4 linked regions of the Danio rerio genome follow. The protein of the gene in region 3 interacts with the protein of the main gene of each other region in a biochemical or structural test. Links are inferred from orthologs where the notes say so. Each region holds a gene or a part of one and is shown on either strand. Other genes may lie near its edges.

Region 1 (8,582 bases), on a different chromosome or scaffold from region 3:
GCCCAAACAGCCTCCTTCTGGGTCTTGTAATCACCCTGCATGAGGCAAGAGAGAGAAAAAATTAAGTTGAAAATAAATTAACTTCATGAACAAGTATTGTATTGTGTTCATGTGGTGACATACTCGTCTGAGAACTTCCACCAGGTACGGCACAATGCCAGCATTGATGACCTCCTGAATCTGATAGTCTCTGCCAGCCGTGATGTTGGAGAGAGTCCAGGACGCCTCCTTCTGAATGTTGCTCTTTTGGTGGCGCAACAGAGCTGGGAACATGGGAAGAGCACCAGCCTCCAGCACAGCCTGCGTTTGTTCATCTGTGCCAGTGACAATGTTACCAATAGAACGTAGTGAGGGGGTCTGTGGCAGGAAAAAATAAAAAAGTTATTATTAAATTTACCATTTTAAACGTATAACTCAAGAGTTCACTACTTTCCACCAACTTACCACAATGGACAGCTCCCCAGATGCCAGTAGCTGCACCAGTCGAGGAACCACACCGGCGTTCACCACAACCTCAATGCGATCATTGGGCCCGTCGGTCAGGTAAGAGATGGCCCAGCAGGTGTCCGCAAGCACTTCTTTGTCACTGTGCTGCAGAAGGCAGATGAGTGTGGGTAGTATCTGTTTCACAGCCTCCAGAGGTGGTGCAGGGTTCTTATTGCGGCACAGGTTTGACAAGGTCCATGTGACGTTCCTCAGGTAACCAGCCTGTAGAAGAAAAACTGGCTGGTCAGGGTAATTCTACACAGCTTTCACGCCATCTAGCGGTAATGCATGCTCACTACAGTTTAAAACAAATAGTCCTGAACACCAAAAACAACATTGTTTGAGGTTTAGAGATAATACATGTAAAAACCTTTATTTTAATTTTTTTTAGCTAATAATTTTAAATACGTTTTATGCAATACACCTTTCAAGAACCCATGATCACTGTACAACAAATATACACAATTCAATAATTTAAAAATAAACCCACAGTATATTTAAAAAAAAAAAAAAAAAAAAAAAAGAGAAGATTATAAAATACAAATAGCCAAATAGCTTTGGCAGAGGGAACAGAGTGTATGGAGGAGAAGGATCTAAGGGAGCAGAAATGAGTGATGATATGGAAGAGATCAGACAAATAAGCTGGTGTGAGGTTATGGATAGCCTTAAAAAGTATGCAGGACGATTTTATAATCGACTCTAGGTTGGATTGGAAGCCAGTGCAGATTTTGTAAAATGGGGGTAATATGGTGAAAAAGAGTTTAGTGATGATGTGGGCAGCTGAGTTCTGGACCAGTAGAAGCTTATAGACGGATTAAAAAAAAATGTAATACATTAATAGGTTTTCTAAATGTAAATTTATAGGGAGAATGTTACAAGTTGCAATTAGCAATTTGTAGTCATCAAATTTGTAAAAAAAAAAAAAAAAAAAAAAACACAATTATTTTATTTTACAATCATATGTGCGCCCATAGGCGTTCTGATCTAAAAAAAGATGGCGTGTTGAGGTGCATTGCTATTTTGAGAAACTATAATAGTCGGTTCTATAGACCTGAACAAAGCCGGTCTATTGTCCAGCAGAGCACGTTAGTTGTGCGCCTCGCTTACACACTGCTTAATACACACAAAATGTAGAGCAATACGCAAAAATCTTTACATATGAAAAATTAAAATATAATACATATTAAGGATTAAAAATATTACAAAAGATTATTTTCAAGCCTAAATTAATATAAAAACTATACTTTCATGCCTTCATCCCGGGAGGCTTTTTCAGTTCATTCATGACAATTTGCTAATGTATAATGTATTATTTTTAGCAGTATTATATGCATATTTATATTTGCTTAATTAAAAACGAGCTTAGATTTGCCCACCTGTCAGGTTTCAGACCATATGGGAGTAGCATGTGTATTAGGATATAACTCAGGTTTTTGAACACACTTCGTTATTATTGTTCATTTATTTGTTTGCTGGAAATTAGAACAGATTTTAGAAATAGTTTTAAAACTAATCTTTGCGCTTAAACTAAATTAATTACTTATAGGCTAATTGATGTCGGTGCGTATGACACGTTTCCCTATCCACAAACGTGAAAGTTAATAAGGAGGCTCATTTCTCATTCTCGCGCTGTAGATGCTCTGTTTAACTGTTTTCTTGCTAGTGAAACGCTCAGTTTTTCCACTTACGTCATGTAAATAGCAAATGCGCTATGGTGCGATGCAACGCACTGTTAAAGGGAATGAGAGATGAGACTCTGATTGGTTTATTCTCAAAACACATCTATAACTCATTAATAAAATAAGCTGAACCCTTTCAGACCATGCGCCATGGCGCAAAGCGGATTTTTTCCCTCATTATTTAAGAAAAAGTGGATTCTGACATGCCCTAATGCGTTTGCACCCTGCGCATGGATTGTGAAAAGAGCCCAAGGTTTAAAGTAAATCTTAAGTGTATACCTTTATAATAAATTTAATATAATAATAATAATATCTATTAAGCTTAGAGTGTAAATAAACAAGAACAAAACTAATTAAACCGATAATTTTTATTATTTGCTTGAGAATCAGGTCAAAAACATTTGATAATTACGGAGGACAAGAATTGTAATTAAATAGTGAAAGGCAAATTCCAAATGTTTCAGAATTTGTGCATGAAAATATAATGAATTTGTCTGGGGTTTTCTTACATTTTCATGCGCAAATTCTGAAACATTCGGAATTTGCCTTTCACTATTTAATTACAAATGTTGTCCTCACTAATTATCAAATGTTTTTGATACTTAATTATCTGAGGAATAGTTATTTTTAAAACTTCTTAAAAAGTCATAAAAAGACAAATTTTTGCGATATTCAATCTGTAAATTGGTCTAAATCAGCTTCACATTATTTGGTATAATAATAATAATAATAATAATAATAATAATAATAACAACAACAACAATATTTTAACCAACTTAGATTGTAATATTGCAATAAATACATTTCTCAAAATTATTTTTACCAAATTACAATGGACACCCATCTGAGAATAACTTTAAAACCAATTTAAATCCATCTATATAAATAACTTACAGGAAACACAGACAAATCAGGAACAGCCAGCAGAGCCAAGAGGGGGGGGATTGCACCATGCTTAATGACTCTATCCCTATACCCAGAACCATCACCTACACACACACAAACACAAAAAGAACAAATCAATTTGTACACCCACATTAAAAAGAAAATTAAGGGATCTAACTGAAATATTCTACTTAGCACCCACCAGCGATGTTTCCAAGAGCCCAAACTGCCTGCTCGCTAATATGAGCATGTGGTGACGAGATGAGGCTGATGAATGCTGGGATTGCCCCTCCCTGGACCACGGCGCTGGTCTGGTCAGATGTTCCAGATGCAATGTTGGTCAGAGCCCAGGCCGCCTCAAACTGTATAGGAGGAGAGTCTACCAGGCTCAGGAAGCCCACGAACTTAGGAATCAGACCAGCACTGATTATGCGGTCAATAGGTGGATGTCTCTCTCTTGACAGCAACTTCCTGCATGTCAGTGTAAGAAATGAAGCTTAAATACAAGTTGAGATGAATAGAGCTATCTGCACATGTATAAGCAATCTACTGGGAATTACCTGGCAGCTTGTGTGGCCTGGACTTGAGTCTCCAAGTTATTACTATTCACACCATTTACAATCTCCTCCACTGTCCAGTGCTGTGCCTGTATGAACAGAATGGAGATTTTATGAGGTGTAACATTGAAGGCAAGACCTTACAGGCAAAAAAAAAAAAAACGAAAAAAAAAAAAAAAACGCACATCTCAATATTGCAAGTTTGGTCCTTTGGCCTTTCATATTACATTTTTTAGGGTATCAGAAGGAAATCCAAAACACTTTAGGGTTTATTTTAGCACGTTATCAACACATGTCTGTAGATTTAAAATTGCAATACATTTCTAAAGTATTTTCCCCCATCCAGGACAAAGCCATGGATATCCATTCCAGCAGCACTTGCATATGCCAAACTTGTGCATATGCATCAACTATCTTCTTGTGCCTCATGTACTTTTGTAAAATACTTTACTAATTTTAAAGTTTATTTTATTTTATTTTTTTTACAGTGAGAAGCACTTATACAAAATTTGACATATACATATTTACTCAAAAAATAAAATTACAAGTATTAAAAATATCTAGCGGTTTTGGTGTATTTTCTGAATTAATGCGTCAGAAAAACAAAAGTTGAAACTAACTTTTGAACCTGAACCAGTGTTTACATTTTTGCTGTAGAGATACATGCAAAAAGTGTATTTTTAAATCAAATCATTTGCATATTTAAAGCAACATTTAAGCTCCGAATTAGGTACATTCAAAACTATTCTGAAAGCACATCGGTTTAGCTGTGCCTTTACTGAATAAGCACTGTGCTACATCTGGCAGATCACACTATTGTCTTTTTGTTTTAACTCTTAAAACATTTTTTAAAAATTAATCCCTTTTATTATTGGTCTTTATTTTCTTGTCTCTTTTATTTCTGTTTATGTACAGTAAGGCACTTTGGACTACCACGGTGTATGAAATGTGCTATATAAACCTGCCTTGCCTTAAATCTTTAAAAGGAATAGTTCACCCCAATATGAAAATACACTCATTATCTACTGACCCTCAAATGGTTTCAAAACTTTATGAGTTTCTATATTCTGATGAACACAAATTATTATTTTTTTTACAGGGAGCGGAATAGCTTTAACCATTGACTTCCATATTTGTATCTCCTAGTATGGAAGTCAAAGGTTACAGGTTTCCTTTATTCTTCTTAATAACTATATATACTTTTGTGTCCAACAAAACTTAGAAAGAGTTAAAATTAAAAATGACGAGTAAATGACAGAGTATTCATTTTGGGGGCTCAGCTAATTTGGGAAGTAGAGTAATAACAACCAAAGTGTCTTATTTGAAATTTCTTGAGTTTACTGATCTTGAGCAGCAAGTCGGCTGATCTGCATACCTGACAGTTCTGGCTTTTCTCTTGGAGAGGAGAGGTGGCCTCATCCGGAAAACTGCTCACGTTTCTCCTCTTCAAAATCTGCTCGTCTTTCTTTGCTTTACGAAGCTCGACGTTGACTTCGATCCTTCGACGTCTCAGCTCCTAGATTACAGTATTTAACATTTATATGAAAGCTAATCTGAAATACGATATATTTAAAAAGTAACAATAACATTCGACTCTCTTTATGCTGTTTTCATGCTATTCTGTTATAGCATGTTATCTATAATGCAAAGTGGTCACTTACAGTGGCATCTTTTCCTTTGTTTTTGAACTGAGTGAGTCGAGCGGTGTTCTCATTTGCAGCAGACATTTTAATGGAGTTTGATTGATCACAGTGTGTCGTAGCCTGGAAAATAAAATATATCCGTGACATATAAAACAACAATACATCACAATCAATTCACATTTCATAAATACATCTTTATATAATGGTATTAACATACTATTTAAATACGAGCAAAAGTAGGAACTCACCACTTTCAACCAAAGGACTGTGGAGGAGGAAGTATGACACAGATCTTTAAACTCGCGGTTTGAACAATCTGATTGGCCTGTTCGAGCAAAAGCATCTTCCTATTGGGCCGTTTTGAAAAATCACACCGCTGGCGTGAAGACGTGGGTCACACATTATCGCGAGATCTGCTGAGAATGCCGATTATGAACTTGAATATTTTGGGCTTTAAAAAGATACATGACCTTCAAACAGATACAAATGCATTACATTTTCAGAATATACATTTCAGAAATATACATGAATATTTTGGGTCTCCCTTTGTTACTGATACCTGGTTGGACTTATTGGGTTGACGTTTAAAAGCCGGATTATTTTACTTTCAGTAAATATATTTATCATATGTTGTTGTTGAGAGGTTGTGGATTCATTTCCACCCACATTTAATATTTGTTTCGTTTTATACCCACATTTAAACAATACTACAGTGACTGTGTAAATGTAAGATAAGCTTAATTATTCATTTTTAATAAAATATACTGTCTCTTTTTGATGTTTTTCTGTTAAGGGAGGGGCAAATGAGCTCTAAGTTTAATTCTGATTGGTCAATGGCGCTTGGCATTCTGATGTTTAAAATTCTGTGAAGAATTGACGGATATGAAGCAACAACACCACGTGTTTAACGTTACTGAATGGAGACAGAACATTTATACACCATTGTACGCTAACAAATGATAAACAATAGAAGTTGGTGGAAGGTATGTATCATTTCACGGTTTAAATTATGTAACTGTAGAACTTGTAAGTGAAACTACACTTTCTTTGGGCTTGAAAAACAGCTTACGTTGATGGTAACACAGCTTGCCTATTGTTAATGACATTTTTATTCGTTTTCCTTCAGCTTATTCCCTTTATTCATCAGGGGTCACCACAGTGGAATGAACCGCCAATTTATCCTGCATGTGTTTTACACAGCAGATGCCCTTCGAGCTGCAATCCAGTACTAGGAAAAATCCATACACACTCAAATACTACGACCAATGGGGTAAATGTACACATACGTTTAATTTCATTCAGCCAGCCTCAGAGATTGTCGTCCATACAAAATTGGCCAGTTAAATTTCTAATTTCTTTAAAAAAATTAAAAAAACAGCGATCTTCACTGCTTGCCTGAGATACGACACAAAAAGTGGGTATCAGACCAAACAAGAAGCCCTGCATTAAACTATATTTTTCCATGCCATGTCTTTAAAATATGGAAATTAATTTTACTTCAGTATTTTAAATAGAGTTTCTGAGCTAGCCTGCTGCTAATGGTGGCACCTGCGTTTAAACGGTTTTTCGTCTCTTTTTACACTTTTACAATCAAATGGATGCTATTTAACTGATTATATCTGAATTACAACATTAATGCTGTAAAAGAAACTGTAAAATTGAAAATAGTCACATAGAGCTTTCACTGAAAGTTCATCATTGGCTGAAAAACACTAGCTGTTCATATAGCCCATTTAGTTTATTGATCTATAGCGCATGGCTTTGGACTGTGGGGGAAACCGGAGCACCCAGAGGAAACCCACGCGAACATGGGGAGAAAATGCAAACTCCACACAGAAATGCCAACTGACCCAGCTGGGACTCGAACCAGCAACATTCTTGCTGTGAGGGGACAGAGCTAACCACTGAGCCTTCATGTCACCCCATTTAATTCAGTTCATTAAAACTACTATTTAAAGTTTATGAATATATAGATCTGGGATTGCAGCTAGCTTTGAAACAAATGATGCAAAGTATACGAAAGTCACATAAATAAAAAGACTTTATAGAATATTATAATCCTAAAATCATAGAATGAACATGGTTATTGCCATACAAAGTCTGTACCAAGATGGAAAAAGTGCACTTAAAAATATAACAAAAAAAGTTTATTGTATTTAGTATATCCTCAACTATAAACATGAGAAAATATGTGGTTTGTTGTGCGCCTTTTAACACAACCCACACACAAATATGAACCGTTGTGTTAAGATCATGAATCTATCCACGAATACACCATATTCTAAAAAGAAATCCAATATGAATTTTCCAAAATATGAATCGGCATATTGTTCAGGGGGTCTACTGAGGATTACATTAGGTACTGCTTTTCAAATGGAAAGAATATAGAGACATCTTAATCAATGTAGAAGAGAGAATCCCGTCCCCTCCATTTATTTGTTTCATATACATCAATATTTCTTCAGTTGTAATACAAAAAAAAAAAAAAAAGACAAGTTATACAAACATGATACCTTCTCTACTAGCACTTTCATCAGTCCTCAACGCAAGCAATGCTTCCTTATTTTAGGTAGGTTGTTCTACCCCATTGCTTAAAAACAAATAAGCCCATTGCGCCCACATTCCACTTCTGAAGTAGTATGATGAATCTTATGAAATAGAGAGGAGAAAAAAAACAACAAAACAACGGGTGCACCCATGATAGACTCCTGCTGTCCTGGATAATGCGAACGCGATTCCGAAAGGTTTTTAAAAACTCACAAAAAAACATTTTTGTAGGCGTTTAATCCAATAAGAAATCCGCCAGGACAGCATCCCAGTCAAAACTCATTGTTTGAACAACCAAAAATGTAAACCGTCCATTCCTGATCCAAACCCACAGCTTTTCTGTCCGATTTTCCACCAAACGATGTGGCTATGAGCGATGCTGGCTGACTGGGAAAGAGTTCCATCTTGAATTAAATGTTCAAAGTTTATTTAGAACAGCATGTGGTTGTATTCTATGAGGCTGATGACTGTAGTTTGTTGTTATGAGACCTAGAGAATACAGAGAGAATGAGGTTAAAAGCCCTTTGGTTTTATTGAACATCCACAAATATGAAATCCGCAACATGGGAACAGAGAGTGGGGGGGACTGCTTCAGGAGTAAAAGGAATGGCAGCCATGTTGGTACAATACACCGGGAATGCCTTTTCAGTCATTTAGATTGGTTGTGAAGTCAGATTACGTTTACAAAATAAAAATAAAATCATACAAATTAAACCGTTTATAAAGCATGGTCCTTTATTTCAACATTGAAATCCTAATAAAAGGAATTAAAACTATTTTAACCT
Region 2 (7,872 bases), on a different chromosome or scaffold from region 3:
AAAGGTGCAGTTCATATCTTACTGCTTGTATTAAAGGACGAAATTGTATTATTAATAATATATAAATATTAATATATTTATAGATTTTAATAAAAAGAAATTGTGTTGTAAAGAAAAAAATCTATTTATGTATGGAAAGCATTGTCAATGCACCGTGATGCACCAAGATATCAAATTGAACCGAATCGATGGCATGATAATCGTAACCGAACCGCGAGACCAGTGTAGGTTCACACCCCTAGTAAGGTAGTAGGTATTGGGTAGGATTAGGAATGTAGAATACGATCGTACTTTATAGGTGCTAATAAACAGTTCATATCTTGATAGTAGTCAGCTAATAAGCCAGTAGTAAATGGTGTGAATTGATACTTAAATTAAATGGCAATACTTTTAGTTGTATGATGAAAAACAAAGAATTTTAGCTCTATTATATTAAGCTGTAGTGTTTAATGAAGTTTTTGAGTTTTTGTTTTCTGTAGACTTGCACTGTTTGTTTATCACTCCTTTGAGCTCTTAGCTGAAAACAGACTGTTGAAGAATACATCTGATTCAGGTCATTATCGAAACTTGCATTACATAACAAAATGATTGACCATTGTGAATGTTTGCAGAATGCGACCAGTGATAACCAGGGCATTCAGCTCAGCGCGGTGCAGGCCGCCAGGTGAGAAACTGCTCCTATTCATCTCTCTAGTGTTTTGTAAGAGCTACCTTTCATTTGGCTTAGTTTGTTTGCTGGAGATTGTGCAATGGGCCGTTTAGTGGGACATGTAGCCTTTATTGCACTAAACATTTACATTTGTAAGCGACTAACAATTGCAATACACACAAGAAAGGCTGATTATACAGCTATACTGTAAGTGCTCTGTGTTGTCACGATACTGGAATTTGGTACCAATCGATGCTGATTTTTTAAAAAGGTCCATTTCCCAAGAACATTTGAGCACGTTAGAAAACACAGCCGATTTGCTATTGGGTTAACGTGCTCAACAGAAATGACTGTAATTGTCCGTGAATGTAATCGGGATACCAAACTCACTGCTGTTTACAGAGTGTAAACACCATAACGGACACTGGAGCAGTTTAAAGCCACGATTCATCAGCAGATCATTCATATGACAGCTTATAAAAGAACCAGCGGATTGATGGGACTTTGAAACACTCCAGTGTCCCTGTATCTGTGGTTACACTTGGTAAACAGCGGTGAGTTCGGTAAACTGATGACATTCACGGCCAATCACAGTCATTTCTATTGAGCACATGAACACCGTGGTAAATCAACAGTGTTCAAGAACACGCTCAACAGCGCTCAAATGTTAGTGGGAGATGTTTTTAAAACTGCAGTATCGATTAGTAGCGAATTCCAGAACTGTGCCACCCTAGTGCTCCGAGATTAAAGTGCTAGAGTTAGAAGGGAAGTTTTTTTTATTTATTTTTTAAATGGGTTTTTACAGGTGGTTTGTCAAGGCCACTCGCATGTGTGAGGCACACTTCATAAATGCACAGATATAGAGATTTTTTTTAGGTGTATTGGGAAATTTGTAACAGTGTCTGGTGCAAGTGTCAGAGATGAGTGTTTTCTGCAGGTGGTTTGTCAAGGCCACTTACCTGTAAGAGGCGGACTGTGATTTGCATAATTTTTTGAGGTTGTTGTGTAAAGGAGATAAAAGGGAGTCCTGGCTTTGTTCACAGGGGTTCAGGTGATAACGAAAGAGATTTTTTTGCATGTGTAAATCTTGTCTGTTGCCACTTGCAGGAAGCTACTGTCGAGTGACCGCAACCCTCCCATAGATGACCTGATCAAGTCTGGCATTCTGCCCATCCTGGTCCACTGCCTGGACAGAGATGACAAGTAAGACCTGTGTCATGTGATCATATGAGACTCTGTTTGGTTTGCATCTGTATTGATCTGGTGTTTCTGTTCTGCAGCCCGTCTCTGCAGTTTGAGGCAGCCTGGGCTCTGACCAACATCGCGTCCGGGACGTCTGAGCAGACGCAGGCCGTGGTACAATCTAGTAAGTTCATCTCAGCCACTGTTTGTTCAAGACTTTCGTTTGTTAGGACTTTTACATGTGAAATTTTTAACTCTGAGTCATCTAAACTCTGTATAAACTGAGTCCTGGGTTATCTGTGGTGGAATGTTCTCATCACATTCCTGACACTGCTCATACTATACCAGGGGTGAACAGTTCAAATAGTTGAATAGTTATAATCAATTTTTACAGTTAATAGTTTGACTTTTTTAATTGTTAGAATATTTTTTTATAAATATAGAAAAGTGGTATTTATAAATGTGGTAAATTTGATCTGTTTTTTTTTTGCCATGACAGCCAAAGAAGCGAGAGGGGTCTGGCTGCAGACTCGGTGCAGTGCAATCTGAGCTGCATCCAATGCTTTTTAATACGCTCACCTAACCCCACCTATCACAGTGACGTCACTCGCTCCATTGAGTGCATTGAGTCTGACATTGCATCGCTGAGTGATGCAATCTCAGCTTGCATCATCAAGGCTGCATTCAGATACTACTAAAGGAACTGAAATGGCAATAAACTCAGTTCTCTCTCTCTCTCTCTCTCTCTCTCACACAGTTAATAGTTTAAAGGCTGATTTATACTTCTGCGTCAAACACCGGCGTATGCTACGGCGCTGACGCATAGCCCATCGCCGTGGCCGTCGCCAACACTGACGTGCACCTCTCAAAAATTCTAACTACACGTCGCAACAACTCGTAGCGCAAGCTCTGTGATTGGTCGGCTTGCTAGCGCCGACGAGTCTGGGCGGGACCGAGAGCCGCGCGAATGGCGCGAGCGATTGTTTACAAGTGTGGAGTCCCGTGAAGGAGCTCCGGATGGAAAGTTTTGTTCTGTGTTTACCTCATGGTTAAAGTTGTTGCACGTCCGCCGGTTCCTGCCTCAAAATGAGCGAGTTTGAGTCACTTGTACATCCAGGAAGTGTTCAGAATAGCAAAACAGAAGCGAAGAAACTCGACACAGAGGAACATTTACACCTCACTGCCCACTAGCGTTTCGGAAGTGTTAATGCAGACCAACGGAGACAGCGCGCAGAAGTATAAATGCACAGCCACGCGCGTTGCCTGCGCCGTGAGTTGCGCCGGTCACTTGACGCAGAAGTATAAACCAGGCTTAAGTCAACAATTTAAGCAGATCAAAACCTTTAAGTTGTCCTAAAACTATTGAATGACACCTATTCTCGTCTAAGGATAGTTATTCATTAACAGACATTTCACACCATACATTCCTAAACCCTGGGTGTTACAGGTGTGAAAAGTATCTTTACCTGAGGTTAAAAACAGCGTTTCGAACGATGATTGTTTGTAAAAAGATTTGCACGTTAGGTAATGAAAGTGTTTTATTATCGCAGATGCGGTTCCCCTGTTCCTGCGGCTGCTGCATTCTCCACATCAGAACGTCTGTGAGCAGGCGGTTTGGGCGTTAGGAAACATCATCGGTAAGTGAACACTTGAATCCTAAAATCTCCATTCAATAACGTAATTTTAAAATTAAAGGAGATTTTGTGTTGTGGGTCTTAAATCATTTCAAACGGGTCTTAATTTTCCTCTGTCCATGCAAAGCTACCCAATCTGGTCAACAATCGCTTGAAATACATATTTTAACGCAAGAGTTATTTTGATTAACTTTACCAGTATAGTTTAGTTATCTTCCTTAAGTGCATGTATACAATTAGAGTTTATGAGAGAGAAATCTAAGAAATAACTAAATTAGAGTTTAGTTTTTTTTTTTTTTTTTTTTTGCGATGGAGCAAGTTAAGATCTTTTGCACTCGGCCAACCTGGTCATTAGTAAAATATTCTTCGCATTTAGTCCTAAATATAGTCTTAAAGTGAATTTAAGTCTTTAACTTTATGAAACCTGCATAAACCCTGCTGGATCAGAGGCTGGTGGGTTGAGGCATAATGTGTCCTCACTACATGCGATTTTATAGGGTATCTTTTTCATATTAAACTAAATTTTGTCCTAACCCGCTGCAACAGCGACGTGTAAAATTTCTATTTTCGCAAAACAACAGCATAAACTGCCATGATACTGATCAGCTCAGGTACTGATTATATGTCTTATTCAGTGTTAAATGCCCCAATCTGAGTTTAAATACATTTAACGTAACGTTTATTGCCAAACTACTGAAAACAGCAGCTTCTAGTTCACCTCAGATCTTGAAGATTAAATAACTAGCAGACTGTTTGAAAATGAAAGTCAGAACTGAGTGCAAACCAACAAGATTAGTTAATCAGCCCCTGTACTATTCTAATGTTAAATACTTGTTCGATTATAAACCTTACCATTTGGTTGGCAGTGCAGTGACTGGTGTTTAAATCTTCTGTCATGTTTAGTTAGGACTGACAAATTGCCTGTTGCTGGAAGCTTGTCATGTACAGTTATAACACTGATGTTGATGAATGAGAGTACTGTGCTGTTCTGCAGGTGATGGTCCTCAGTGCAGAGATTACGTCATCAGTCTGGGTGTGGTCAAACCACTCCTATCCTTCATCAGCCCCTCCATACCCATCACCTTCCTCCGTAACGTCACCTGGGTCATGGTCAACCTGTGCCGCCACAAGGACCCTCCCCCGCCCATGGAGACCATCCAGGAGGTACAAATATGATGCTTATTTTTAAGAGGTGGAAATGGCAGCATTTTAAATGAAATCAAAGCCTCCAAGTTTGTTTTAATTAGAGGGCTCATAATGGTGCTGGAAATCCTTATGTCCTTTCATTTCATTTTTTGCATTTAATGTTTGTTTTTAAATGCCACAGGAATGGAAGTAGGGTTGAAAGCGCTTACATTTGTTGTGCATTTGTCAGTAAAGCTGGCTCTGTAGTCAGCTGTGAATCTCCGGCGCCTGTGTTTACTGCACACAGCCATGGTTGTCTGCCAAACTACACAAAATATCACATGCAACATCATCATGCGATCGTCAAATCGGAAATAATTCTGCGATTAGATCGATATTTGCAGAACTTCTCAATGAACTACGGCCCTTTAAAGTAAACATTGCTCAAGTTAAAGCTGAAAGCACATGCAAATACCACACATAATGGCGTTTTTGCTCAATTCAAACTCTCCACTAAAACTATAAAGTTAAGTCTTTTGGGGAGAATTTTCCACTGATCACATCATTGTAATTCCCTCACATGATGTGCAAGACATTAGCAGCTTTTGCTAAATCGCAGATGCAATTTTTATGTTGATATATCGTTCAGCCCTAAATTGAAGCACTTATAGTTTGGGCAGCTTGTCTAACAAATGTGGCGGGCTGAGCTTTTATAATATTAACAAGTTGATTTAACTTGGGCATAATTTAGTGTTGTCAAGTATCAACTTAAGTACCAATCGCAAAAACGTTTATTTCCTGCTAACATTTGAGCTCATACTTAAACTGCACTGATTGGTTATTGTGCTCGCATGCTTAGTAGAAATGACTGTGATTGGCTGTGAAGGTTATTGGTTTACCACTGTTCACTGAGTGCAAACACTGATGCAGAGTCAGAAAGTGTTTTAAAGATGTTAATGCAGTGGTGGGCAAACTTTTTAGACCCGAGAGCCACATCAAGTATTGCAAACCAAGTGAAGGGCCACAGAAACATGTCACAATAACACAAAAGATTTTTTTTATATTATTAAGTAAAAATAATCATCGTAAAACAATGAAATAATCTCTTATATAATAATAATAATAAAGATAATAATGTAATTTTTTTTTTTTTACAGTGGAGAATAAAAAAGAAATTGTCTGATAGAAAAAATCTCACATTAACACATTAAAAATAATTCTTAAAGTTTACTATTCAGTCAAATTTACTATCTAATTTGCACTGCTTTTACAATATACAGATTAATTATCATAAAACTTGATAAAACCACAAATCTTTGATAAAATACCTTTTTTGAAGTGGTTGTATGCATGGAAAATATATTCTCACTAAAATTAACACTTTTAACCAGCAATTATTAGATAACTTGAGTCCAAATTCACATCATTTGAGCTTGTGTTAATATGCTCACATCAATCATTATAAAACTATGAGACAAAACGGAGGAAGAGTCTTCGTCTTCATTATTACAAGTCATGATATTATGAGTGTGTTAATGTGAACAATAAGCCTGGTCCCCTCTCTTCGCAAGGGTGTCAGTCTGGAGTCTGCTACAGCAAAAACGCGAAGCGCAGCAGGCGGTTAAAACTCGAGGCGTGCAGGATGCAGCAGCGCGCTAAACAAAACCCTCGCGGCTGTTAGTAAACCATTCAAAAGAGGCTCCTGAAGCATAAAGCGCGTCCGGTCATTAACGGTCGAGTGCATTTTTAAATCCGAGAGTGTTCTAATTCTACTGGCTACCGCGTGCAATACTGCCATCACATGGCGTTCACTTGTAATTGCATCATTAATTTACTAATTCTGAACCAAACCTTCTCAGAAGAAGCATTTTAAAAACTCCCTCGCGGGCGTATGAAAGTGTTCAGCGGGCCGTAGTTTGCCCACCTCTGTTAATGTGTAGATAAGTCGCATAGACTGAGGCATTGGGCGTGGCTTACTTAACCACGCCCCTCCAGCTGTCAGTTATAACAACCTGAATTGGTGAGGAGGAGGAGTCTGTTAGGTTGTAAACTTTCCTCAAACTGTTTTCTGAATTAAATCATCCAATCAACTTGCAGTAGAAAAAAAACAAGCCACGCCCACCGTTTTCTCATTTGATATTTCATTTCTTTATAAGCTGCATCAAAATATGAACCAAAAAACAATCACTGCTTCCGGTTCATGCAGACTTTAATGCCAAAACTGAAACAAAAGAGCATTTTAGAGTATTTCCATCGCCTTAATCCCCCACCATGCACTCGTTCTCTCATTTACGTCATGTCTGCTCTGTGTTCTGATGATGTCTCTCTGTGTCCGTGCAGATTCTCCCAGCGCTGTGTGTGCTGATTCACCACACTGATGTCAATGTAAGTTGGAGTTTGCTGTGATGGCGAATGCTCTTCTCTGGAGGCGGATGGTGAATGCTAACTCTTTGCTCTGTGCAGATCCTTGTGGACACAGTCTGGGCGCTCTCCTATCTCACCGACGCTGGCAATGAGCAGATCCAGATGGTCATCGATTCTGGGATTGTGCCATACCTCGTACCATTACTGAGCCACCAGGAGGTCAAAGTTCAGGTATGGATGAGCCTTTAGTTTGCGCAGGGCATGCTCCAAAGGCCTTACAGCTAAAGATATCATTCAAAAAAAATCCTTGAGTGCAAGCTACTTCAATGATAAAGACGATGAGAAGCCTTATTATTTGGGATTGCTTTATTTTTTTTATTCAATCAATCTCACTCTGACAGCCTATCTGAATCCATTGAAATATAAAAGGGCTCATGCAGTTTAAAGCTGCAGATGACATTGTGGAAGAAGCCGTGCATGCTGTATAAAAAAGTACCTCAGGTATCCAGTGCTAGTTTTTGCTTACTCCTTTGAAAATGCTTGAGTAAATAGTTAGTTTTCATTCCACTACTGCGAGTACATGATCGCTAAATTAATTCTAGATGGCTAGCAGCAGCACACTGAGGACATCTGCTGGTCATCTGAAGGATTCATGCCGAATGCAAAAACTTAATAACAAAAAAGAAACAATCAATGTTTATTTTTGTGTCTTGGGCTATTATTATTATTATTTTTTTCTTGCACTGTTGATGCAAGTTTATCATTACCTTTCTATTCATAGTTATAATTGTTGTGAACTGGCTTTAAAATTAAAGGTCCCGTTCTCTTTAAAAAAAAAAAAACTTCTCTGCCATTTTAAAATAAATTATAATGCTACAAGAATATGCGTTACCAGTCTCTTCACAGTCTTTGTTTTGT
Region 3 (8,135 bases):
ACCCGGCGGTGCAGAAGACCACGCTGGTCATCATGGAGCGGCTGCAGCAGGTCCTGCAAATGGAGGTGAAGATCCGCTTCTGTGTCTGTGTGGAGATGAGTTGACCAGCACTGATGATGATGATGATGATGATGATGATGATGTGTATTGCTCTAGATCTGTCTCTCACTGAGCTGTATGATCTGCAGGACTGGACTGTATGATTCAAGCCTTTAGTAATGTTCAGTTCAGTAATGTTGCCTCCTGAACAGGTTTGGCTAAAGATTGAGCCTGTAGCATAACACTGATCAGCGATGCGACACAGGATCACGTCAGTCAGTCTGTTCCCCCAAACACCTGAACTTTCATTTGTCCCTGTAAATGAGCATTATAGGCCTGGCTGATCTGTGCTGATACTGTTCAGCAGAACACACACACACACACACACACAGTTGATCGTGTGTTCAGCATCATACACACTCGCTTCAGAAATACATGCCCATGTAGAGGAGCTGTGTGTGTGTGTGTGTGTGTGTGTGTGTGTGTGTGTGTGTGTGTGTGTTCTGGTTGTAATAACTGTGTGTTTTGTGCAGTCTCACATCCAGAGCACATCAGACCGAATCCAGTTCAATGACCTCCAGTCTCTGCTGTGCGCCACGCTACAGGTCAGTGTGTGTGTGAGTAAGTGTGTGTATGTATGAGTGTGTGTTCTGAGCTGTTTGTACTCCTGCAGAACGTGCTGAGGAAGGTGCAGCATCAGGATGCGCTGCAGATCTCGGATGTGGTGATGGCGTCGCTGCTGCGCATGTTTCAGAGCACCGCCGGCTCCGGAGGCGTGCAGGAGGACGCACTGATGGCCGTCAGCACACTGGTGGAGGGTGAGGAGCAACACACACACACACACACCATCATCATCATCATAGACACTCAAACTCCATCACATCTGTCGTTATTGTCATGTGATCAGAGCTGTGGTGTGTCAGTCGGTGTCCGCCGCTGTCTGCTTGGTTCTCTGATTAAGCCAGGTCTTCTGTTTGTTCTCCTCCAGTTTTGGGCAGTGACTTCCTGAAGTACATGGACGCCTTCAAGCCTTTCCTGATTATCGGACTGAAGAATTATGCAGAATATCAGGTAAAGCTGGGGCATTGCGGCGTGAGTGTTGATGATCGTTCCTCCTGCCGCTCAGAGATCATGCGGCTCAGGATTTTAGATCATCATAGAGAAATCTGAGTCTGTTTCACCCGGTGTGTGCCGACCGACGGTCTCCTGTGGCCACGCTGGACTTTGCGGGACTCTACAGCTGTAAACCTGCTGAAAATACCTGGACATAAACCATAAAGCAGAAGTGTTGAACTGTGTGTGTGTGTGTGTGTGTGTGTGTGTGTGTGTGTGTGTGTGTGTGTGTGTGCTGCAGGTCTGCCTGGCTGCGGTGGGACTGGTGTGTGATCTGTGTCGGGCTCTGATGGCCAATATTCTGCCTTACTGTGATGAAATCATGCAGCTGCTGCTGGAGAATCTGGGTGTAAGTACAGCTCCGCTCAGGCCGTGACTGCAGCACACTGCTGGACTACACCAGCTCTACATGCTCCACTGCCGACACTTCCTCTTCTCTAATGCAGAAACAGCGCTAGTCTTTCGTTTCTGTCTTTGTTTTGTACTAATAAAAGTCCAGTTCTGTTGGCGTGTTGAATAGGGCTGACGGTTACTCCATTACCTGCTCTTCTCTTTAAAACTCCTGCATCCTCACATCTCCTGGCGTTAGGGGTTATATAGTGAAGCAGCGCTGGTCAAACTGGGGCTGTTAGCACTGATCAAGCTTCGGCAGACTCTTCTCAGCTGAATGCAGAAGTGTATGAATAGTACACTAACTATGAGTAGAGCGCGAGCCGGCACAGTGAACACTGCGTGATGATGATGATGATGATGATGGTATCAGCTGACGGAAGCGCTGACGTCTCATTCGCCCAGAGCGTCAGTCGTGCAGCTGCTGGAGCTCTTCATCTGAGGAGTTTTGCTCTCGATTTATTTTTGGTTTGGGGCTCTGAAAGGATTTGCCCTACACTGAGGGGCCTTCAGCTGAGAGCCTGTTTTATTTGACAAGATGGCCATGAGGTCAGCAGGGTAGTGAGCTAGTGTGGGGAACGGCCATGATGAGCTCTGGGTCGTGTTCAGATGTGCACTAATACACCACACACATGATCTGTTCTCCACTGTCTCAGTGCTAAAGCTGCGCTTACACTAGTTCAGCATGTAATCGTGTGTGTGTGTGTGTGTGCGCGCAGAATGAGAATGTGCACCGCTCCGTCAAGCCCCAGATTCTGTCTGTGTTTGGAGACATCGCTCTCGCCATTGGAGGAGAATTCAAGAAGTACCTGGACATTGTGCTGGACACTCTGCAGCAGGCCTCGCAGGCACAGGTGGACAAGGTGAGCAGATGAACACACACACACACACACGGCGCTCAGTGTTTGACGATTGTTGTTGAACTTCTGTCTATTATCATCTGTGGTGCTGTGATGTCCTTCAGTCGTGTAGAGCAGACGTTCAGCGCTGCTCTGGGCTATCACTGATCTTAAACAGTTCAATGAGAAGATCTCCAGACCTGACCGCTGACAGCACACACACTGTCTGTCTGTTACACGAGCTGAGCTGTGTGTGTGTGTGTGTGTGTGTGTGTGTGTGTGTGTGTCTGCAGACGGACTATGATATGGTGGATTACCTGAACGAGCTGCGTGAGGGCTGTCTGGAGGCCTACACCGGCATCATCCAGGGCCTGAAGGGGGACCAGGAGAATGTGCACCGTAAGTGAACACACACACACACACACACACACTTCAGCATTGCATGGCGTGTGCGTAATGTGTGTGTTCTCCTGCGCAGCCGATGTGATGCTGGTTCAGCCGCGTGTGGAGTTCATCTTGTCCTTCATTCACCACATCGCAGAGGACGAGGACCGATCTGACGGAGTCGTGGCTAATGCTGTAGGGCTCATCGGGTGAGGCACATACACACACACACACACACACACACACACACACACACACTCGTACAGACAGACATTGTGCAGTAGTCTGACCCCTGTGTGTGTGTGTGTGTGTCAGGGACCTGTGCACCACCTTCGGGAAGGATGTGATGAAGCTGGTGGAGGTGCGTCCTCAGATCAATGACCTGCTGACTGAAGGCCGGAGATCCAAAACCAGCAAAACCAAGACTCTGGCCACGTGGGCCGCCAAGGAGCTGCGCAAGCTGAAGAGCCAAGCCTGGTGCGTGACCTCTGACCCCACAAACCTGCCTGTGTGTGTGTGTGTGTGTGTGTGTGTGTGTGTGTGTGTGTGTGTGTTAAAGCTGTTCACTCCAGTCTGAGGAGCACAGAGAGTGTGTGTTTCTCTGGCCCTCACTCTGCGAGTGTGTGACGTGTTGTTCTCCTGTGTGTGTGTGTGTGTGTGTGTGTGTGTTTCTCTGGCCCTCACTCTGCGAGTGTGTGACATGTTGTTCTCCTGTGTGTGTGTGTGTGTGTGTGTGTGTGTGTGTGTGTGTGTGTGTGTGTGTTCCTCTGCCCCCCACTCAGCATGTGTGTGACGTGTTGTTCTCCTCTGTGTGTGTGTGTGTGTGTGTGTGTGTGTGTTCCTCTGCCCCTCACTCAGCGTGTGTGTGACGTGTTGTTCTCCTCTGTGTGTGTGTGTGTGTGTGTGTGTGTTCCTCTGCCCCTCACTCAGCGTGTGTGTGACGTGTTGTTCTCCTGTGTGTGTGTGTGACGTGTTGTTCTCCTGTGTGTGTGTGTTCCTCTGGCCCTCAGTCAGCGTGTGTGTGTGACGTGTTGTTCTGTGTGTGTGTGTGTGTGTGTGTGTGTGTGTGTGTGTGTGTGTGTTCCTCTGCCCCCCACTCAGCATGTGTGTGACGTGTTGTTCTCCTCTGTGTGTGTGTGTGTGTGTGTGTGTGTGTGTGTGTGTGTGTGTTCCTCTGCCCCTCACTCAGCGTGTGTGTGACGTGTTGTTCTCCTGTGTGTGTGTGTGACGTGTTGTTCTCCTGTGTGTGTGTGTGTGTTCCTCTGGCCCTCAGTCAGCGTGTGTGTGACGTGTTGTTCTCCTGTGTGTGTGTGTGTGTTCCTCTCAGCGTGTGTGTGTGACGTGTTGTTCTCCTGTGTGTGTGTGTGTGTGTGTGTGTGTGTGTGTGTGTGTGTGTGACGTGTTGTTCTCCTGTGTGTGTGTGTGTGTGTGACGTGTTGTTCTCCTGTGTGTGTGTGTGTGTGTTCCTCAGCGTGTGTGTGACGTGTTGTTCTCCTGTGTGTGTGTGTGTGTGTGTGTGTGTGTGTGTGTGTGTGTGTGTGTGTGTGACGTGTTGTTCTCCTGTGTGTGTGTGTGTGTGTTCCTCTCAGCGTGTGTGTGACGTGTTGTTCTCCTGTGTGTGTGTGTGTGTGTGTGTGTGTGTGTGTGTGTGTGTGTGTGTGTGTGTGTGTGTGTGTGTGACGTGTTGTTCTCCTGTGTGTGTGTGTGTGTGTTCCTCTCAGCGTGTGTGTGACGTGTTGTTCTCCTGTGTGTGTGTGACGTGTTGTTCTCCTGTGTGCGCAGATCTCCGGCTGTGGAGTTTCTTCTTCTTCTTCTACCAGGACAAATGGAAATGAAAGCCCTGCGGTTCTTCTGTCTTTTAGAGCTGTGGACAGAAGTGCTTGTGCGCTGATGAGTGTGTGTGCGAGTGTGAGAGCGAGTGTAAGAGCGAGAGATTGACACACACCTTCAGTCCAGCTCCAGCAGAGGAACAGCGGCACACACCTCCACCTTCTCCACCTGCCCGCGTTCTCCATCCTGACCCGATCCTCCCCCCGGCCCGATCAGCTGCAGGACTGACCGTCACACACTGATTAGCAGACGGCGGCCGCGGGAACCTGCTGCTGGAGCCATGATGGCGTGACTGGAGTGTGTGTGTGTGAGTGAGCGAGGGCGGCGCTGTTTCCGCGTCGTCTCTCAATATTTCAACCAATAATAAATAAAGGTGATCAATATCTTGTTTGCGATTGAGTGAGCTGCTCTTGCGTTCCCTCGGCGAGCGGCAGTGGAGGCGTCCGGCCTCTCGTCACGGCTGCGCTACATTACTGGCCTCCTCCTCCTCCTCCTCCTCCTCTGTGTTTCTTTAATAATAGTGCTGATTGAGTAATGGTTCTCTTACCGGTGTGTGTTAGTATGGATGTGCGGATCGGAGCTTCACCTGCCCTGCCTAGGGAAGACTATTGCCACTACAGGCGCAGGCTCCGGCGGAGCGACGGGATATTAGACACCTCCACACGCGACTTTATTCTCCTTTATTTGTTTTGCAGGAAACTGAGTGCCAAACCCAGCGGTGCAGATGGACTTGAGCTTAATGTGTTACTCGTAGAAGATGCGAATTAATAATACACACGTCAGCGGCGGCGAGCCGAGCAGCATCCATGTGCTTTTGGTTGTAATTTTTTGTTTTGTTTTCCTCTTGCGGCACTTAATTGGAGTCATTCACCGAGCTTTTAAGAAGACGACGACGGACAGAATCAGACATTTGTATGAGGTTATATTTTTCCATTGATATGAAAATAAAGTTAAATTAAATCTTTCTGCTGTGTGTGTGTGTGTGTTGTGTCTTCAATAATGGCACATAAATGAGCAGCACACGTCCACAAGACCAGTTCAGGAAAATAATTTAATAATAAATACATTTAAATAGAACATTACAGCGCACCCACAGGGCACAACATGTGTTAAACACACAACATGTGTCGGTCAACATGTGTTAAACACAACATGTGTCGGCTACCAAAATAACAAATGTTCAAAACAATAAATATTAAATATATAAATATGTAGCGAAAGTCATGGTGTGTGTGTATGTGCGTGCAGTTAGCATTGAGACACACTGATGCAGCGCAGGCTGCGGAACACGTCCTGCATGAAGCTGCGCAGCTGCCGGAGTGTCGCGCGCACACGCACCTGCAGCTTGAACTGGCTGAGTGGAGCCGAGAGAGTGTGTGTGTGCGGCAACACCTGAGGACCAGCAGAGGGCACCTGGAGGAGGAGCTGCAGAACACAGAGCGCATTACACACCAGTACACACTAATACCAGTCAGTAATACACACACGCTCACCACTGTACACTAGTGTCAGTCAGTAACACACACACACACACTCACCAGCGTGCGCAGCTCTGCGAGGTCGTTCAGTAGGTTCTCTGGGCGGCAGGGCTCCAGCAGCTTCAGCAGGACTCTGTGATGAAGCTCCAGACCGATGAGCATCCGCTGCACACGCTCCTCCTGCACACACACACACAATGTTAGACACACCACTATACACCTACAAACACTGCACACACATGCAACATAAGTGTGTATTTACAGGTGTTAGTGTGTATTTACCAGTGTTAAATCCTCAGATTTGAGCAGCGGCAACGTCGGGATCTGGAACTCACTGGATAAAAACTCCTCAGTGGAGGAACTCAAACCCTGCACACACACACACACACACACACACACACACACACTTACGTTAGGAGAACAGCTGTTACTGTTGGAGCATCTCTAACCATGTGTGTGTGTGTGTTCAGTGTGTGTGTGTGTGTGTGTGTGTGTTGGGGGATGCTCACAGTGTTGGGTGCGCAGAGCTCCTGCACAGCTGGAATGTCGTTTAGGATCTTCTTGGCCAAACTCAAGGCTCTCAGAGTGTGTTCAGTGTGTGTGTGTGTTAGCTGTGGCTGTAGGGGCACACACAGCAGCTGGCACACACAGAGGTGCAGCAGAACTGAGGAACATGAAGGAGAAAGATGATTATCCTCCATCAGACAGTATTACTGCATTATAAGACAGAGAGCAGGTCACTGAGTCTCCTCATGATGACTACAATAATCATCACAATGATCAATAATAATAATAATCATCGTCACAATGATCAATAATAATCATCATAATCTTCACAATGATCAATAATAATAATAATCATCATCACAATGATCAATAATAATAATAATCATCATCACAATGATCAATAATAATATTAATATCTCACGGAGGCAGCAGGTCTTCATGGCGGCTCGCCGGTGCTCGGTGTCCGGTGTTGGGTGCTGCTGTGCGGATCTGGAGGCTTTTAAAGAGCCTGATTGTTCAACTGGGGAAACTTCCATGACTGATCGGCGTCGCGTTATTGCGTCTGAAGCGTTGCGAAAAACACTGACAAAAAGAAGGAAACAGTCAGTCAGTCCTCGGGGTTACTCGAGCCGGTGTTTACCGGCGGATGCTCTTCCTGAAACACCCACCCACGCACACACACACACACACACACACACACACACACGTGGCTCACCTGCACCGCGTGTCTACGCTGGCGAACACCGGGAGCGCATGCGCACTCGGAGCCCGCAGGACTCCAACCGCAGACCTGCCGCCGCTGCACCGGGAATAAACCGCTCCGTCACTCATATCGCCGTTCACACCGGTACACAGAGCGTTATTGAGCGGGGATTAAACGCGGATTAGAGCTTCAGATCCCGGGAATTCTGCAGTTTCGTCAGAGCAGGAAGCAGAAGCAGAAACCGCAGCAGCAGAGCCCCAATGACGCCCGGAGCCGCGTCACAGCCGCGTTGAGCAATCCGCCGTTTCCCCGCCACTGATGCGGGATTATTACAGCACTGCTGCAGGCGAGACTAATGATGGAGCTGTAATGAGGCTTTATGGTTATTCACTACACTTCCTCCTCCATCAATCAGTCTAAAATAATCAATAATCATGAGGAGACCGGGCCGGGTCAACAACATTTTGGGCCCCGCGGCTGCAGCAAACCCAAGGCAGGGGCCCGTGTATTTCACCACCTCACATCAGTTTTTTTTTGTAATTATTATTATACTTATTAATATTGTTATCTAGGGGCGAGGCAATGGCGCAGTGGGTAGTGCTGTCATCTCACAGCAAGAAGGTCGCTGGTTCAAACCTCGGGTCAGTTGGTGTTTCTGTGTGGAGTTTGCATGTTCTCCCTGTGTTCGCGTGGGTTTTCTCTGGGTGCTCCGGTTTCCCCCACAGTCCAAACACATGCGGTACAGGTGAATTGGGTAGGCTAAATTGTCCGTAGTGTATGAGTGTGTGTGTGTGAGAATGTGTGTGTGGGTGTTTCCCAGAGATGGGTTGCAGCTGGAAGGGCATCCGCTGC
Region 4 (3,967 bases), on a different chromosome or scaffold from region 3:
TTATCTACTCAGCCTTTATAGAGTTTCTTTCTTCGGTTCGAGCACAAAAGGTGATATTTTGAAGAATGCTTTAAGCACTGCATTTTTTTCCAACTATGGAAGTCAATGGGTACCTGCAACCAGCATTTTGCAAATTATCTTCTGTGTTCAACAGATGAAAAACTCAAAGGTTTAAAACCACATGAGGGAGACTAAATGATGACGTTTTAATCTTAGGATGAACCATCCAGAGTCAACATCTACATGATCATTTTTAATTATAAGAATAGTTCTATTCTACAAAGTCAGGCAGCAAAACACAATTCATGATTTTATATCCTGTTAGGCTTCTTACACATTTTTCAAAGTCAAATTTGAGCATTTTCAAGCACACTGCAGATACAATTGTGGTAAATTACATATAAACATGCACATACACATACTGTACATACTTCATACTACAATATACCAGATACTATTTGCTATAGTATTCTGTGGTACTTTAGTATAGTATTTCAAGGACAAATTTTGATGGTATATTTGCCGCAAGCAGAGCAGCACGGTGAAAAGAACGCCTCACAGCAAGAGCAAAACTAATTATTTAAATAGTTCGCTAGAATTACCTACTTAAAAACAAATTATTATGAAAGCACCACAGAAGCACCAAAAAACACTAGATCAAAATTGAAGCATATTCAAGGATTTCCAGTGAAAAACCTGCTATGTATGGGACGATATTTTTAAGGTATACAGCGGTTGGAAAAAAGTCAAGGTTTTAAAACAGCCAAAATTTTCTGCAATACCGTTCCTAAGGTATGTGTACAATTTTTAATTTGTGATTTTTTTAGGACAATAATATCTCCAGCAGAGAAGATGTTTAAATTAAATTTAAACAAACAAAGACAGCAGAAGTCAATTTATTTGGCCTAACATGTTTACTGTTCCAAAATATTTAAAATGTTAGATATACTATGTTCAAAAGGGTAAAAAAGTTTTTGATTTTAACCCAGACATTTACAAAGAATATATTTTAGCGCAGTAATCCCAATACCTTGAAACAGTGATATTTTTATCCAAGGTTATCATACTAATATACATAATTTTATACCGGCCCATGCCTAAACCCTGCTTCATACACATAGATGAATTTGAAATATATTCCTAATTAATATAAAGCTGGAGCAGCAAAAATAATGGATTGAGGTAAAGTTGATTTTATATTCGCACATTCATTCTTTTTGAACAGTGACAACTTATGGCACGCTATCTATATTGTTTACCACGCTACTTTTGAGTATTTCCTCTGAAATAGCATGCAAGCGTGACTTCAAAACAACATTAGCACTATTTAATTGACTGTGATCAATGTTGTACTTTGAAAGCCACTTCTAATATGATTTACCTATTTAGAATTTGTCAAGTATATTAAGGAAAAAGTGCAGCACGGTGGTAGAGTGGGTAGCGCTGTCGCCTCACAGCAAGAAGTTTGCTGGTTCTAGCCTTGGCTGGGCCAGTTGGCATTTCTGTGTGGAGTTTGGATGTGCTCCCCATGTTCGGGTGGGTTTCCTTTAGGTGCTCCGGTTTCACCCACAGTCCAAACACATGCAGTATTGGTGAATTGGGTAAGCTAAAATGTCCTTCCATAGTTGAGGTGTCACATCCATAACGACACCTATCCGTTATAGATGTAACGGGTCAGAAATTGTAGAATATTAACAGATGCATTCTTGCGTATTTCTAAAGTACTGTAAAATACTTCTATAGTGAGCAACTCTTTATTCTTTTGATTAGCATTGTTTTGTTTGGGTTGTGCAGTTTACAGAATTTCTACAAAGAATGTTGTCTACTGTAAACCCGCAGACTTTTTTTTTGTCACATCCATATTGCATGTTTATTTTTCTCATATAAAGTACAAAACATGTTTACAGATCAATATTTTTCTGGTCCCGTAACTCTGTGGTCAGTAATTCTGAAAATATAAACAGAAGTTTTAATATAATGTTAACATATCATTTCTATGTGAATTTATGTTTTGAGCTTTACTGCAAATGTCACATCCATAACGCTGGAATTGCTCATATGTTGGATTAATTGCCGGTTAATTCCGCTGTGGTGACCTCAGATTAATAAAGGGACTAAGCCAAAAAGAAAAATGAATGAATGAAGGAAAAAGTCCGAATGTGCAAGTACAAAACCAACTTTACCCCTTTTAACGAATTAATAATTGTAACGTTATCTCATCATAACGTTACTTAGACATTGTTGTGGATGTGTGAAGTTAACCAACATTAACTCATCATTGTAGATCGTAATGCTCTTATGCGGAATAGGCTTAAAACACGTACCAAACCTTTCATCTAGATACGCACACGGTCAAGATATTCACCATTACAAACAACACGCAAATGTTCTTGGAGCTTTAAAAATTTGATTGCAAAAATGTGTACGTAAGCCACTCAGGGTTTGGGGACAGCGTTATGATGAGCAACTGAGCTCTATTATAAGATTATAGCTAAACTGTTGCAAGCAGCTGAGCAACTTACGTACAATTCTCTAGATATGAACATTTCGTGTGATAGACTCTTTAATATTATTGAACGCCATAGTAAGAGAACGGATATGTTTTTAGCTTCACTTCAGTGATAACAGCTAGCTGACAGTTCCTCACGTTACGCCAACTCAATGCAGATTTCTCCACAATTACATCACAAATGTACTTACTTTAAGATAGGTTGATCACATTACACATCACAAGGTGAAATAAAACACTTCAACAAATAAAATGTAAAATGATAAAGAACGTACAACTACTTCACAGCAGCTCCCGCGCACAGCATCCGTCACATGCGCAGTTTCTTTCAGGACCTTCGCGTCATCTGTCTAGGGTCTACATTCTGCCTGCTCAAAATTACAGACTTATGTGGCAACATCATCACATTAAAATAAAAGGTCGTAATAAGCCACAACATCAAATGATAAAGAAATCGTTATTATTTTATTTAAAAGGAATGTAGTTAGTTAATTTATTTTTGCATTAACTAAAAAGTCTATAAACATAATTGTTTATCAGCAGGTCGTGTGCACGAGTTCGGGGCGGGCACTGGTGAGGACAGTGATGAGGTTGGTGACCTCTCTCTCTCTTTTATTAGGTGCGTTCGACTTCATGCAGCGCTGCGCAGATCGATCGAAATCTGTCTTAAAGCGGTGCATTCTGGTTAGAAATCTTGTCCGGATTGATGCTGCGCCGACGCCACGTGACTGTCACATGTGGCATCAAAGTACCGCGACAGCGCTCCGAGATCAGACGGCAAACTCAGACCATGCAGCTTCTGAAGAGCGACTGCAGGAGCTTTGATGACGACACCGATATTACACGATTGGCCGAGTTCACCACATGACAACAAACACGTGTATTTCGGGTTTATAATTGGACAAATTCCGATTCAAAAGTTTCAAAACAAACAATTCACTTTTCACACCCTCTCTATCCTGTACACATCTTGCTTATTAAAAGACTACAAATATTTTACTGCAGTAATCATCTTTTGTTAAATAATCTGGTTATAAAGGTTAGCTTGTTTGCACAGGTTTATTTTTAAACTTTTTTATACAGACTATTTACTGCATTCATCTCCATGAACGATTTAAATGATATATTTTAGTGTATATTTTAGTGAATAACCTAAATATGAACTCAAATAAGTCTTACAGACTTGAAATAAGAAAATCATCATCATTGATCCTGCCACCCTAAAGCTCTCTTAACAAATTAAAGTAAAGAACTATTTTATTAAATAATTATAAAATGGCTTTATTATTATAATATAAATATATATTTTATTTTCTGTCTAGCAGTTTAAAGGCTGTATACCTGCTCTTTCTGGGAATCTTCTACATCGCTCACTTATTTTACCTTTTGTTCTTTTCAACACAATCTTTTTGGATTAAAATGCTTTTTTGAAAATTCATTCATCATCCAAAATAATGT

What was found.
Region 1: the proteins of kpnb1 (region 3) and kpna2 form a complex in vitro, tested with the Homo sapiens proteins (6 studies listed by BioGRID and IntAct, with this or other methods). The link is inferred for Danio rerio from reciprocal best matches to the Homo sapiens genes KPNB1 and KPNA2.
Region 2: the proteins of kpnb1 (region 3) and kpna4 form a complex in vitro, tested with the Homo sapiens proteins (2 studies listed by BioGRID and IntAct, with this or other methods). The link is inferred for Danio rerio from reciprocal best matches to the Homo sapiens genes KPNB1 and KPNA4.
Region 4: the proteins of kpnb1 (region 3) and nup62l form a complex in vitro, tested with the Homo sapiens proteins (2 studies listed by BioGRID). The link is inferred for Danio rerio from reciprocal best matches to the Homo sapiens genes KPNB1 and NUP62.

Annotation. Positions count from the first base shown.
Region 1 is NC_133178.1:24,115,434-24,124,015, forward strand, and holds the start of kpna2 (importin subunit alpha-1), read right to left. Parts: upstream 5,520-8,582; 5' UTR 5,468-5,519; intron 5,371-5,467; 5' UTR 5,335-5,370; coding exon 5,269-5,334; intron 5,124-5,268; coding exon 4,983-5,123; intron 3,697-4,982; coding exon 3,611-3,696; intron 3,522-3,610; coding exon 3,253-3,521; intron 3,155-3,252; coding exon 3,060-3,154; intron 709-3,059; coding exon 445-708; intron 358-444; coding exon 124-357; intron 36-123; coding exon 1-35. Other genes in the region: nucleosome-remodeling factor subunit BPTF, read right to left, coding at 8,250-8,286.
Region 2 is NC_133190.1:1,646,247-1,654,118, reverse strand, and holds part of kpna4 (importin subunit alpha-3), read left to right. Parts: intron 1-611; coding exon 612-664; intron 665-1,756; coding exon 1,757-1,852; intron 1,853-1,929; coding exon 1,930-2,015; exon of another isoform or gene 2,016-2,594; intron 2,595-3,141; exon of another isoform or gene 3,142-3,381; coding exon 3,382-3,468; intron 3,469-4,459; coding exon 4,460-4,629; intron 4,630-6,930; coding exon 6,931-6,975; intron 6,976-7,053; coding exon 7,054-7,185; intron 7,186-7,872. UniProt on the Homo sapiens protein: Functions in nuclear protein import as an adapter protein for nuclear receptor KPNB1. Binds specifically and directly to substrates containing either a simple or bipartite NLS motif.
Region 3 is NC_133194.1:51,607,421-51,615,555, forward strand, and holds the end of kpnb1 (importin subunit beta-1), read left to right. Parts: coding exon 1-65; intron 66-572; coding exon 573-644; intron 645-712; coding exon 713-857; intron 858-1,027; coding exon 1,028-1,110; intron 1,111-1,139; exon of another isoform or gene 1,140-1,281; intron 1,282-1,393; coding exon 1,394-1,501; intron 1,502-2,261; coding exon 2,262-2,405; intron 2,406-2,674; coding exon 2,675-2,780; intron 2,781-2,859; coding exon 2,860-2,974; intron 2,975-3,080; coding exon 3,081-3,242; intron 3,243-4,547; coding exon 4,548-4,548; 3' UTR 4,549-5,560; downstream 5,561-8,135. Other genes in the region: csf3b (colony stimulating factor 3 (granulocyte) b precursor), read right to left, coding at 5,844-6,020, 6,134-6,253, 6,356-6,442, 6,583-6,737, 7,002-7,020.
Region 4 is NC_133189.1:11,190,108-11,194,074, reverse strand, and holds the start of nup62l (nucleoporin 62 like), read right to left. Parts: upstream 2,801-3,967; 5' UTR 2,785-2,800; exon of another isoform or gene 2,701-2,784; intron 1-2,700. UniProt on the Homo sapiens protein: Essential component of the nuclear pore complex. The N-terminal is probably involved in nucleocytoplasmic transport.